Linked DNA regions of Ovis aries. The protein of the gene in region 1 binds, or shares a complex with, the protein of each later gene. Links are inferred from orthologs where the notes say so. Each region holds a gene or a part of one and is shown on either strand. Other genes may lie near its edges.

Region 1 (3,648 bases):
TATGAAATGACATATAAAGATTTCCACAATAGATCATTTAATGGAAAAAGGAAATTTCAGAATAATATGAAAGGCTTTATCCCATTTTCTCATCAACTAAAACTGTGTGATCATACAAATAAATATATTTGCCTTAAAAAGAGGAATCTGAAATTATATAAAACCATTAGGATTGGACAGCACCTGTGGGTGGGAGTAGTTTGAGAGGGAATGTTTGCATTTTGTTTTATGTATTCTTACATTATCTTAACACTTTCATAAGCATCACTGATTCTGTAATACACAGGTAAGAAAAGAGATGATCCCGTCCATGTACCCCTTATTGTTAACCTGTCTCTCCACAGGTGCCAGGCTGCAAACAAGACTTGCCCCGCAGATTACGTTTGGAATAACCACGTCTGCAGATGCCTGGCTCAGCAGGATTTTATTTTTTCCCCCAGTGCTGGAGATGGTAAGCCAAATGATGCTTTAAGACTAAATGCCAAGGGTCTCTCTGTTGATTAACAAATACCTAATATTAAAATCACATGTACAATATTCATCCTCAAGCTTTGAAATCAGTCACTACAAAATAGGACACTTTCTGCTTCACTTTCTGCTTCTGGTACTGTTTTGAACGTCTCTGTAAAGGAACCTACCTGTGGAAAGGAAGACACTTCTAAGTGCTCTTCATTGTTTCACTCCACACCCAGAACCGAGTAAGGGATAGTAAAGCTGTCCTGACTGTGTTTGTCTAGACTCTGCAGACGGATTCCATGACATCTGTGGGCCCAACAAGGAGCTGGATGAAGAGACCTGTCAATGCGTCTGCAGAGGGGGGCTTCGAGCTTCCAGCTGTGGACCCCACAAGGAACTAGACAGAGACTCATGCCAGTGTGTCTGTAAAAACAAACTTTTCCCTAATTCATGTGGGGCCAACAGAGAATTTGATGAGAACACATGCCAGTGCATATGTAAAAGAACCTGCCCAAGAAATCAGCCCTTAAACCCTGGAAAATGTGCCTGTGAATGTACAGAAAATCCACAGAAATGCTTCTTAAAAGGAAAGAAGTTTCAGCATCAAACATGCAGGTAAGAAACCTTCATAAAGAGTATTAATTTCTCTTTTATTGGAAATAGTTTTCTCAATCCAAAGCAATTTTCTCAGCCAAAATACTGGTTTGTTACAATGGGGCCATTTAAGTTCTGTAAGATGAATTATGATATTTTGTAAACAATGCTAAATTTTGGGGAGACTGTTTGCTCCTGAAAAAGCAAGATGAGATCCCTGGAAACCAAAAGGAGATCCAAGCTCAGACTATACTAAGTCCTTGTCCCAGAGGCTAAGAGAGCAGCTCACAACAGGAGTTAGATGACAGATGCATAGGGCAGTCATTTCTCGAGCATCTTCAACATACACCCAGGCAGCGCACACCTGCCCCCACCAAAAATGACAATGCAGTCAGATGTAATTTTGGACAGCTTTTCTAAGTGCAGAAAATGTTGTGCGAAGTTCACAAAGGGTAGGATAATACCATTTACTGTGGAATTGTATCTAGAAATGAAAATAGTGAAGCTAAGTATTTAATGAGAATTAGAGAACTATATTAGCACATTGTTAAAGGTTACTCAAGGCATTCCTTAAACCTGATTTGGCTTCCTTCATCACAGAAAAGAAAAAGAGTCTCCTGGACTCAGACCCTTTCAGTGTTCACCCCTGACCTTCTTCCTCTGATCCGAGAATAAGCCAGCCCTAGGTGTTTGACACGGCCTCCCACTTTGCTTCAGCATCGCTCCACCAATCACGCCCCTTCTGTTCCACACCTTCAATGTCCTCAACTCTGTTGTTCTCTCCCTCCAATTTAAAAAAGTTCTCGAGTTTCTTTATTGGCATTTCTTACTGCAGTGTTGAACTTTCATTAGCAACAAGCTCTGTCCTTGTCTTCTGAGTTGCTCCATGATGGGTCATTCTGCATTTATCTGTTCACCTCTTTCATCTCTTGTTTATTCCCTCAGCTATGCCCTGAGGGACTGTTATGCCCTGAGGACTCCATGATTAAGCTTCGTTTAAGGTTTCAGTAGCCCTTTCACTGTCAGATTTCAAAACAATCCGGTCTTACTGCAGTTTCTCTTTGGGCTCTCTGTTTGGGCCGAGAGAACACTGTGCTTTCCTGATCGTCCTTTTAGTCTTCTCTCTACCTGTTCTCCGTCACCATCACTGGGTTCTCTTCTTCCACCAACTCTTTACAGACGGTGATAACCCCCACATGACTTAAAGCTTACCTTCCATTATTTACAATATAGTATCTATGTGAATGTTAATCGTTACTTTTGTCTTCAGTAAACAGTGTCCTTCTTTTGATTCTCAAGAGCTTGTGTTACTGTTTCAGTTCATCTTTCTGATGACCCAGCCACACTAACATGTTAGCTACTGCATGAGGAGACTTCCATGAACCTAGGTATCTCTTCTTCTATTACCATTTCAGAAAACCGTATACGAATCCTTATGTTTCCTCTTTAGAGTATTTTTTTAGCAATGATATTCCAATTTTACTTGCATATCCTATTCTAATTACCAAAAGGATATACCAAAACTATAGAAAATATAGATACTAAATCTTTTTAAAGATCATTAAACCATTTTGCACATTGAATCCAAGTGAACCCAGTTTACAGTGAGAAGCCTTAAATTTTTGTTTACATAAAACTAATCAGTTATTATATTTTTCTACACAGTTCTTACATTAACTTAGAGAAAACGTCTCTATCATTGTATTTCTCCTCACAGAATACATTGTTTCTTAATGGCTTTCTATTTACTGAATTTCTTTCCATGTTCATTTTTCTAAGCATATAATTCCAGATTTTATGCATATACTGAAACAAAAAAAAAGATAGCTTGATATTTTGAAAAAATACATACTCCTTACTTTCTCATCATATTTATTCTAAAAGTATTTTGGGCAGAGTATCTATTCTGTGATTCATTACCTTAGTCAGCAAGTTTCATTGATTACTGAAAATCATATCTTTTTAGTAAAGAATTACCAGTATCCCTATATTAATGCATTTGTATTTAGAAATGAAATAAATAAAATTTTAACTAGATATGCTTTCAGGAGCAAAGGAAATGATATTTTAAAACCCTAGTTGTAGTTTTTCTGTGGTACATTCTGATTTCCAGATGGCCTTGCATTTTTCTCGATGGTCATATTATATATACTCATCCCTCAGAAAGTCCTTCAAAGATGTTCTGTTCACTGGAGCAACAGGGCTGTGGATGTTATTGACTGCTGAGTCATATGTCCTTTCATCACCGCTAGAAACCGGACATTGAAGGTGGGGGGAGAGGAACCTCCCCCACAGTGAATACTGTCCCTCCCTGTGCCTTCTCCCAGCCCACACTGTTTTTGTGTGGAGTCCAGGTGGACGAGTGAGGCTGGCCACCCTTTCGTAGCAGCCAGCTGCCAGCCCAAGTTAAGAGTAAGGGTGGGGCCTCCTGTGGACCACAGCCCTGCCAGAATGGCTGGGTTTAATCTCCTTGACGTCTGGGTTCCAACCAAGTCCCAGATTCTTGAGAATTCTGCCACGCTTATGTGATCACGCAAAATCGGCAGACCGTAAATATTCACTTTCAAAATTTCTGTTTTATGTTACTTTCAACTATAA
Region 2 (4,154 bases), on another chromosome or scaffold:
AAGCTCCTGCAGAATGGACTTGGTCCAAATCTTCCCTTTGCCACCCTGAGCAGACATTATAGCTTTCACCTTGCACAGGACTATAGTCCCCTTCACTGGTTAGGCTGCCTGCCACTGCCTGGGGGTCAGGGTGGGGGTGGCACAGCAAGGAGATGGCCAGACAGTCCCCTTGTCACACCTCATGCCCAGCCTGGTGCCTGGTCATGTGGACACTGTGCTGTGGGGAGGCAAAGAGTCCTTCGGCCACACTGACCCAGTGCCTCCAGCATGCTGGGTCTGTGAGCACGCCTGTATGTGAGTCCTCAGAGCACTGAGCTAAGGCCAGTGCTGTACCTGCACTGACTCACATGCCTGCCCCTCTCCCACACCTCTGTCCACACCTGGCCCTGGCTCAGGGCTGAGGAGCAGGGACGGGAAAGAGCTGGGATGGTCATGAGTGTCTCAGCCGTGGTAGGAACCAGTAGCCTCATGGCTGGCCAACCAAGCTTCCTGGCAATTGCCTCCTTCCCCACATGTCCCTGAGCTGACTGCCCACCGTTCAGAGGCACAGACAGCCTCTATAGAGTCTAAGCCCCAAGAGATAAAGCCTGTAGGAGGTGGCCTCTGCCATCTGCCTTCTCTAGAGGGACACGATTGGGGTAAGGAGTCCAGCCCCAAGCACAGCCCCTCAGAGCGTGCCAGCTTGTTGCAGTGCTATGTGTGGGCAAACTGAGGCATAAGGAGAGGAAGGGAGGGGTCCAGGCAACACAGCAAGTAATTTAGGGGTAGAGCCAGGAAGGAGCCAGCTCTGGGACAAGCACCACATCTCTGAGGGTCGCCTTCGGGCCAGGCTGCTCACCTGCCAGCACGTGGCCTCACACTGGGGCTGCACTGGAATGTCTGAGCTTCTGCTCCAGCACTCCCATCAGTCTAGGGGCTTCTCAGGTCCTCTTCAGCCCCAAAGTGGGTGGCACAAGTATAAGGCTCAGGGACTGTGGCAATGGTCTGCTCTCAACGGGTTATCTCCCTACCAGCCGTGCCCTGGTCCAGCCAAGGCTGTCCCCCTCCACGGGCCCCTTGGCTTCATTCTTTCTCTTCTCCCTCACTGCCCAGCTTTGGTAAGAATCACCTGTACTCACTGCGAGACTGACTTATCCCCCCTCTGTCTGCTACCTTGCACTCGCTCTACTCAGGAGCACCAGGACGTGAGTCTCTCCTGGTTTTCCTTACACTCTGCACATTGGATGTTTTCTATCTCCCTGGAAGCCTCTCGCTCTCTGGTCCCCTCTTTGGGGAAGATGGTCCCATCCTGGGACAGCTTCCTCTTCAGCCTCTCTCCTGAGCCTTGGACACTGTACCCACTGCCTGCTGGATGTCTTCTCAAGGTGGGATATCCCACTCAGCCCTGAAGTCCAACCACGGCACCTGTGAAAGCCTGGGCCTGGGAAGGGTGCAGGGGAGCAAAGAAGGGCCAAGAGGCAGCCCCTCTGCTCAGACCTGCCCTGACTTGGAGGCCGGAAGTTGTCTTCTTCCATCCTCCTCCCCCTAGGTTCACCCACACTTCCCTTCACTCCACTCTCCCCAGCCCTTCAGCCCATATAGACACAGAGAATGGGGTTCTTGTATCCCAAAGACCTGGGTTGAACATGTCCTTTACTACTGGCTTCCTGAGGACTTTGGGGGAAGTTACCCCTGTCCTTGGTTCAAGTGTTCCCGTTTGTAAAAAGGGTCTAACATTTCCTTGTGAGGATTAAAAGAAATGAAACATGTAAAGCCAGTATTCAAAGCCAACAGTGTTTAAAAATAGAGGTATCCATTTCTCCCTTCAGATCTTTCAGAACTACTCCCTCAGACACTGGGGACCCATGATCGGTCCTCCGCCCTCTGACCCCCAGGGTCACTGGATCTCTCATGGGCTTCCAGCTCATCTGCCTCTCATTCCTGATGCTTTCCCCCTGACATCTGCAAACAGCCACCCCTCCCTCAATCCCCAAACTCTCTTCCCTCCGATCGCTCAGAGGCAACCTTTAGTCATGTTCCCATCACCTGTTTCCACACTGCCTCTCCTGTGTTGAAGACCCTTCTTTGCAGCCCCTGCCTTATGATCCTTAGCTTGGCCATCCAGGGTGCTACCCCCCAAATATGGCGAGGGCCGGCCTTCTGCCTCTCCTGCCATGCTGATCACTTACGAGCTGCTGACTCAAGATCAGCCTCAAAATCCAACAACTGCGCCCAGTTTTCCCGGACTACGCCTGATTCCCTGCATCCCTTGGGACTGCTCCATCCCAGCAGTCCTTGGCCTGGGGAAAGTGAACAGCAACCAGAGTTCCCTCAGGAATGCTGATCTCGAGCGCAGACTAGAGTCGCGGGGAAGTGCGCCTCCGAGACTACGACCTGGCGGGGACTGCAACCTCTGCGCTGGGGGACAACCTCAGCGCGCGCGGATCGCAGGATAGAGTAGTGCGGTGCCCCGACTCCGCAGAAAAGCGTGTAAGCAAGCGAAGGATCCAGGCTGAGGATGCAGCGCGAAGGGGCCCGGGTCCAAGGGAGCTGAACCATAGACCGTGGAGTGAAGTCGAGAACCCATCTCCACGCTGCTGGGCTGCCCCGCGGCCCGTCCTCTCCCTTTCCTCATCCCGGCAAGCCCGGCCCGACTCTCTGTGCTCCTTCCGGGATCTGAATTCCTGGCTCTCAACCCTGTCTCCCCTCGTGCCCAAGGGTCCCGCGGGCCCCGTCCCCCGACCGGTCTCGCGTCCGTGCAGTCCCACCATTTGCCCAGGGAAAGCGTCCCCGCTCGTGGCCAGCTGCGCACTGGGGCCGGCGGAGGGCTCACCACGCTCGTTGTCGAGCAGTCCGAGGCAGAGCCACAGGCGCAGGCACAACGCGGCACCCCGCTGCATCTCCGGCCGCGGTGGCGCGGATCAAACGTGCGACCGCGGCTCGCGCTTGAGTGTGGGCGCGAGGCACCGCGCAGGCGGGGCCGGGGCGGGGCTGCGGCCGGGGCGGGGCTCCCGCGGCGGCCTTGGCCTCGGAGAGCGGCCCTCGCACCTCTTAGGACCGCCCTCTCGCAGGAGACTGCCGCAGCGACGTGAGGGTGCTGGCGCGAGGGAGGGCTGGTCCGCGCCCCACTGCCGAGTCAACCGCAACCCTTCAGGTTGGCCATTGTGAGTTAAAAAGGGCACGAACCCAGCCGCCAAGATTGGACAAAACGTGGCAGCACGTATTTTTCTGTAATTTCCTTCAGTTAATAAATACTATGTTTAAAGTAGGAAAAAGAAGAAAGCAATATAATTTAAAATAGCAATATATCAAATCTTTGAGACCGTTCAGTAAACTTTATCTTACCGCCTACGTGGTGTAGATGGAGACTGGACCCTTGGGCCAGGCACCCAGTATAACTAACCTCCATCCTGCAGGCATGTCCTCTTTAGATTTCCTCCAAATAGTTTTGCTCTGAGCTCATTCAGAAGTCCTTTCATCAGGTGACAGTTTGCTCTCCGACTTGGCAACCCTTTCATAGACTTCCTTTCTCTTTTCAGGTCTGTCTCTAGATTTTTCCTATTTAAAAACAAATCCCATGAGCATGACTGTCTCCCTCTTCTGCTTTCATAATCACACTTTTACTATCCCTCCCCCTACCACCTGCAAAAGTCCATTCATCCTTGTCAAAAACCCTTGTTGGAAACAATTGTTACTAAATCTCTAATGCAAGAAAGAATGGAACTTAAGTTGTAATCATATATGGAATATTTAATAAATAATGTGAAAGGTAGGCAACCAAATAAACGAAGTTAGATCCTTTTCCTCAACCACATGTTGCTTTTCTTTCAACTTTTGTTGTTAGTTTTAACATATTGAAATTTGGTTTTAATATATTGTATTTAGTTTAAATACGTTGATATATAATCAAGGTACTATAAATGAGAATTTTAAAGCAAACACTTCTGTTTCAGTCCCACAGATTAAAGAATATAAAATGGCACAAGCTTTCCAGAAGCTTGCCCTTTCTCCTCCTTAACCCCCAAATCCTGGCTTTATCATTTCGCTGCTTTTCTTTATCATTTTATTTCCCAGATATATTTTGCTTGTTTTTAACCTGGCCTTATCATTTCCCTGCTTTTCTTTATCATTTTATTTCCCAGACATATTTTGCTTGTTCATTGCATAATCTTTTG
Region 3 (3,648 bases), on another chromosome or scaffold:
GTTTTGAAAATCTGGATATCAATTAAGACCCTAGCATGGTGGACAGTTTTTCTTTCTCTGATGCTTTTTTTTAACACCTGGTAGCTCTTTGCATTTAGTTGGCATTGGACTCAGTTTTCTTGCTGTGGAGTGACCCATGGCACGGAAACTGAGTGGTATATTTAGGTAGACACTTTTCCTGTGTTCCAAGCTTGGTGTCAACACAAGCTCAACACTTTGATCAATAAGTTGAGATTCCCCACTTGCAGTTCATTAGCATCATCCTTTTTAAAGTCCTGTTCTCTGAGGAAAAGTACATGCATATTATATGACATTGGAAAATGTTTCTTTTCTCAATTCCTCTCACCTAGTTTTAATGTACGATCGTTCAACCTTGGCAGTTCAGTTACCAGAGTAAGTGCATTAGAAAATTGATAAAGAAAAATAAGACAAGGTCATGGACATTTCCCACCAAAGTACATCAATAAACTATGTAGAAGTCGCTCTATGTAGTACTCAGTAATCAGCAGTTTGGTCAAATGTGTGCGTCCTATGTTTTATAAAAAATGTCAGTGGGTCCTTTCCCAAAGGAGTGAGGTCATCAGATGAAGGTTCATTTGGTTTCAATGTCCCATATCCTTTTCTAAGACCTTGAAGTTGGCAGTGCAGGAAAACAGGAACTCCACCCTCACTCCATGAATTGCAGAACTGTTGTGTTGGTTTATGACCATCTGCCCATTCTTCCTGTTATGACACAGCTTGTGAACTTTTACTGGGAATGGTGAAAAGTAAATTCACAAGTTTTACACAATGAACTGCTGAAGAGGCCTTTTAAAGTATAGAGTGTGCATTGTTTATGGAAGGTGTTTCCTATTGGCCCTGACTCAGTGGCAATTACATTCATTTATTTAATTTGTTTCTAGGTTTTTCTAGTGTTTCCCTTGATCCACCCAGGCTCAGCATCCAAAAAGACATAGTTACAATTATGGCTAACACAACGCTTCAGATTACTTGCAGGTAAGGATTCCTTTTAGATTCAGATTTCCTGTGTCAAATATCTCATTGTTTATTAAAGAAGCAATAATTTTCATACAGCAGAATTGTAATAGAGTCATTGTAATTGTTTATAAGTAGTGAGGTTTCTAAGAACTAAGGTAATAATGAAAACATGAGAAAGGTCTTCTCCCCGAAATTCTGTGCAATTTTACTGATATTTTTCCCCCTATAATCCTTTACCAACACACACACACCCTACTAACCATTATTGATAGCACCTGGCATGTGGTATGTTATATATACTCTATCAATGTTGAATAAATAAATGAAATCAAGGATGTACCCTTAGAGTTAAAGAAGTTTTGGGACATATTTGTTATTCTCAGCATGGCTCTTGGACATCTGTTTAACATTTTTCAAGAACTTCATTTTATGATAAAATTCAGACTATAGTAGCAATTTAATATTCAGTCATTAATATTACTGAGTGAATCTCATGCTCTGGCTTGAGGTTCTGACATGTCTGTCACTCCCCAGCTAGCAAGAAGTCATGCTCTTGATTCTTGCTCACTGGGGAAATAGGTCTTCTTGACAAGAAAAAGAGGCTTTTAAATTTTGCCTTCCAGCCCCTACCGCAGGAAGAAAAGTAAGAGAACTTAGGGTTTAATGTAGTGATTATGCTTGTCAGACCCAGAGGCTTCTTGGGACCAGTGTGGCTTTGGCAGAAATGATGGGTGGAGGCGACCTTGCCCTCTGAGAAGAGTGCTGAGGGTCCACAAAGAACCTTGGGGCGCTTGTTGCCATTGTTTCGGCGTGATGAATGCAAGGTGTTCAGCACGGTGACACCAGTCTATTTTAGCTTGCAGAGTGTAAAGGATACTCTAGTCCCCTATCAAGGGTAGGTCACCAATAACCAGCCCTTAGGGAAAAAACAGGAAGAGGAGCTGTTGGCCTAGCTTTGCTATTTCAAGATACATTTCTCCGTAGATTTCCCTCTTAACCACCCTTGACAAGAAAGGTTATTTAAACCCCCTGAGATTCTGTACTCCCTTTATGTCGTGAAAAAAATGATGGAGTATGTTAAAAGTAACTTCATTAATGTTGCTGCAATTTGATGTCAAGTTTGCTAAAGAAGGGTCAGTGATGATACATTTGTCTTCACGTTGACCGTCTTCTTTGGGGTTTTGCAGAGAAATTCTGCAGTGAAAGTAGTCTGTTTTAATGCTATCCTTTCAACGTCCTGTGAGGCCCTTGCTGCTGCTGCTAAGTCGCTTCAGTCGTGTCCGACTCTGTGCGACCCCATAGATGGCAGACCATCAGGCTCCCCCTCCGTGGGATTCTCCAGGCAAGAACACTGGAGTGGGTTGCCATTTCCTTCTCCAATGCATGAAAGTGAAAAGTCAAAGGGAAGTCGCTCAGTTGTGTCCTACTCTTAGCGACCCCATGGACTGCAGCCCACCAGGCTCCTCCATCCATGGGATTTTCCAGGCAAGAGTACTGTATGTGCCAGTGACAGCTGCATTCCCTTCCACCCTAACCTCACCTCTTACTCTCCCGACTGCCCACTCTTCTGTAGCTACTCTGGATTACCTGCCATTCTCCTAACACTATAGATAGGAATCCACCCCAGGGCCTTGACATTGCTGTTCCCTTTGCCTGAAGCTCTGTCCCCCTCAATATACATACGGCCCCTTTCACCAAGTTACCTCCCTCTAGAACTAACCCTTCACTTGTTTGTTTGCATCTTCTAAATTTTCTTCATAGTACTTATCACCACCTTTTATATAATATTATTCACTTTTTGAACATTTTGGCTTCATTGAAGTTTATTTACTTTTTTTTTTTTTTTTGCCTGTGTCTTCTAGTTAGACTGAGGTTCCATGAAGGCATTGATTGAGGTTTGGTTTGTTCACTGCTGTATTCTCAGTCTTTACCAATGTTTGGCACATAGCTCATGTTTAATAAATATTTGTTGAATGAATGAATGAGTTAATTTCTGAAATTAAGACTCTGCCTTTTTGTCATATTGTCCATAATATGAGGAGTTTGTATAAGTTCGAGAACTAAACCTTCTATTTTCTTAGAAACAGTCTCATAGGCATTTCACTTAAATACTTGCTTGGAATGAATTTTTCAGGGGTCAGAGGGACTTGCGCTGGCTCTGGCCCAACAATCAGAGCAGCTCTGAGAAAAGAGTGGAGGTCACAGATTGCAGTGATGGCTTCTTCTGTAAGATGCTCACAATTTCAGAAGTGATTGGAAATGATACTGGAGCCTACAAGTGCTTCTACCAGGACATTGACATGGCCTCCACTGTTTATGTGTATGTTCAAGGTGAGTGGTTAAATGCCGTTCACTTCTCAAGTTGATTTACCAGTTACAAAGCACAATAGGTGCACAGAAGAATTGAGGACAACAAAGGCTCGCTCTGAAGGCTGTCGGCCAACAGGAATCCACAGAATTCCTCTCTCCGAAGGCCTCCTCTGAGGACAAGATTCAGTGATTTGTTCTGCAGCTTGGGCCCTGTTACACCTCTTTTACCCAATTAGTTCGGTTCTGATCTTTGTTTCTAAGCGAAGTCTGTGTTTGCAACTGACAATGGAGATTTATAAGAAGCCTTCTGATGTTTGAGGGGAAAAACCCTGAAATCCTTGAAAAGGAAGATTCAGGGAT

What was found.
Region 2: the proteins of VEGFC (region 1) and FLT4 are in contact, whole or in part, in a crystal structure (PDB 4BSK), measured with the Homo sapiens proteins. The link is inferred for Ovis aries from reciprocal best matches to the Homo sapiens genes VEGFC and FLT4. Residues at the interface, in NP_005420.1 of Homo sapiens: Leu119, Asp123, Trp126, Gln130, Asn167, Arg210; in NP_891555.2 of Homo sapiens: Gln172, His199, Asp200, Ala201, Leu202, Tyr203.
Region 3: the proteins of VEGFC (region 1) and KDR are in contact, whole or in part, in a crystal structure (PDB 2X1W), measured with the Homo sapiens proteins. The link is inferred for Ovis aries from reciprocal best matches to the Homo sapiens genes VEGFC and KDR. Residues at the interface, in NP_005420.1 of Homo sapiens: Thr148, Asn149, Phe151, Lys153, Phe186, Ile188, Val190, Pro191, Leu192, Gln194, Pro196; in NP_002244.1 of Homo sapiens: Val135, Tyr137, Ile215, Val216, Val217, Val218, Asn253, Val254, Gly255, Ile256, Asp257, Phe258, Asn274, Arg275, Asp276, Phe288, Leu289, Ser310, Ser311, Gly312.

What each region holds. Positions count from the first base shown.
Region 1 is NC_056079.1:7,221,701-7,225,348, reverse strand, and holds part of VEGFC (vascular endothelial growth factor C), read left to right. Parts: intron 1-344; coding exon 345-451; intron 452-737; coding exon 738-1,071; intron 1,072-3,648. UniProt on the Homo sapiens protein: Growth factor active in angiogenesis, and endothelial cell growth, stimulating their proliferation and migration and also has effects on the permeability of blood vessels.
Region 2 is NC_056058.1:345,272-349,425, reverse strand, and holds the start of FLT4 (vascular endothelial growth factor receptor 3), read right to left. Parts: upstream 2,903-4,154; 5' UTR 2,880-2,902; coding exon 2,813-2,879; intron 1-2,812. UniProt on the Homo sapiens protein: Tyrosine-protein kinase that acts as a cell-surface receptor for VEGFC and VEGFD, and plays an essential role in adult lymphangiogenesis and in the development of the vascular network and the cardiovascular system during embryonic development.
Region 3 is NC_056059.1:71,308,585-71,312,232, reverse strand, and holds part of KDR (vascular endothelial growth factor receptor 2 precursor), read left to right. Parts: intron 1-902; coding exon 903-996; intron 997-3,112; coding exon 3,113-3,309; intron 3,310-3,648. UniProt on the Homo sapiens protein: Tyrosine-protein kinase that acts as a cell-surface receptor for VEGFA, VEGFC and VEGFD. Plays an essential role in the regulation of angiogenesis, vascular development, vascular permeability, and embryonic hematopoiesis.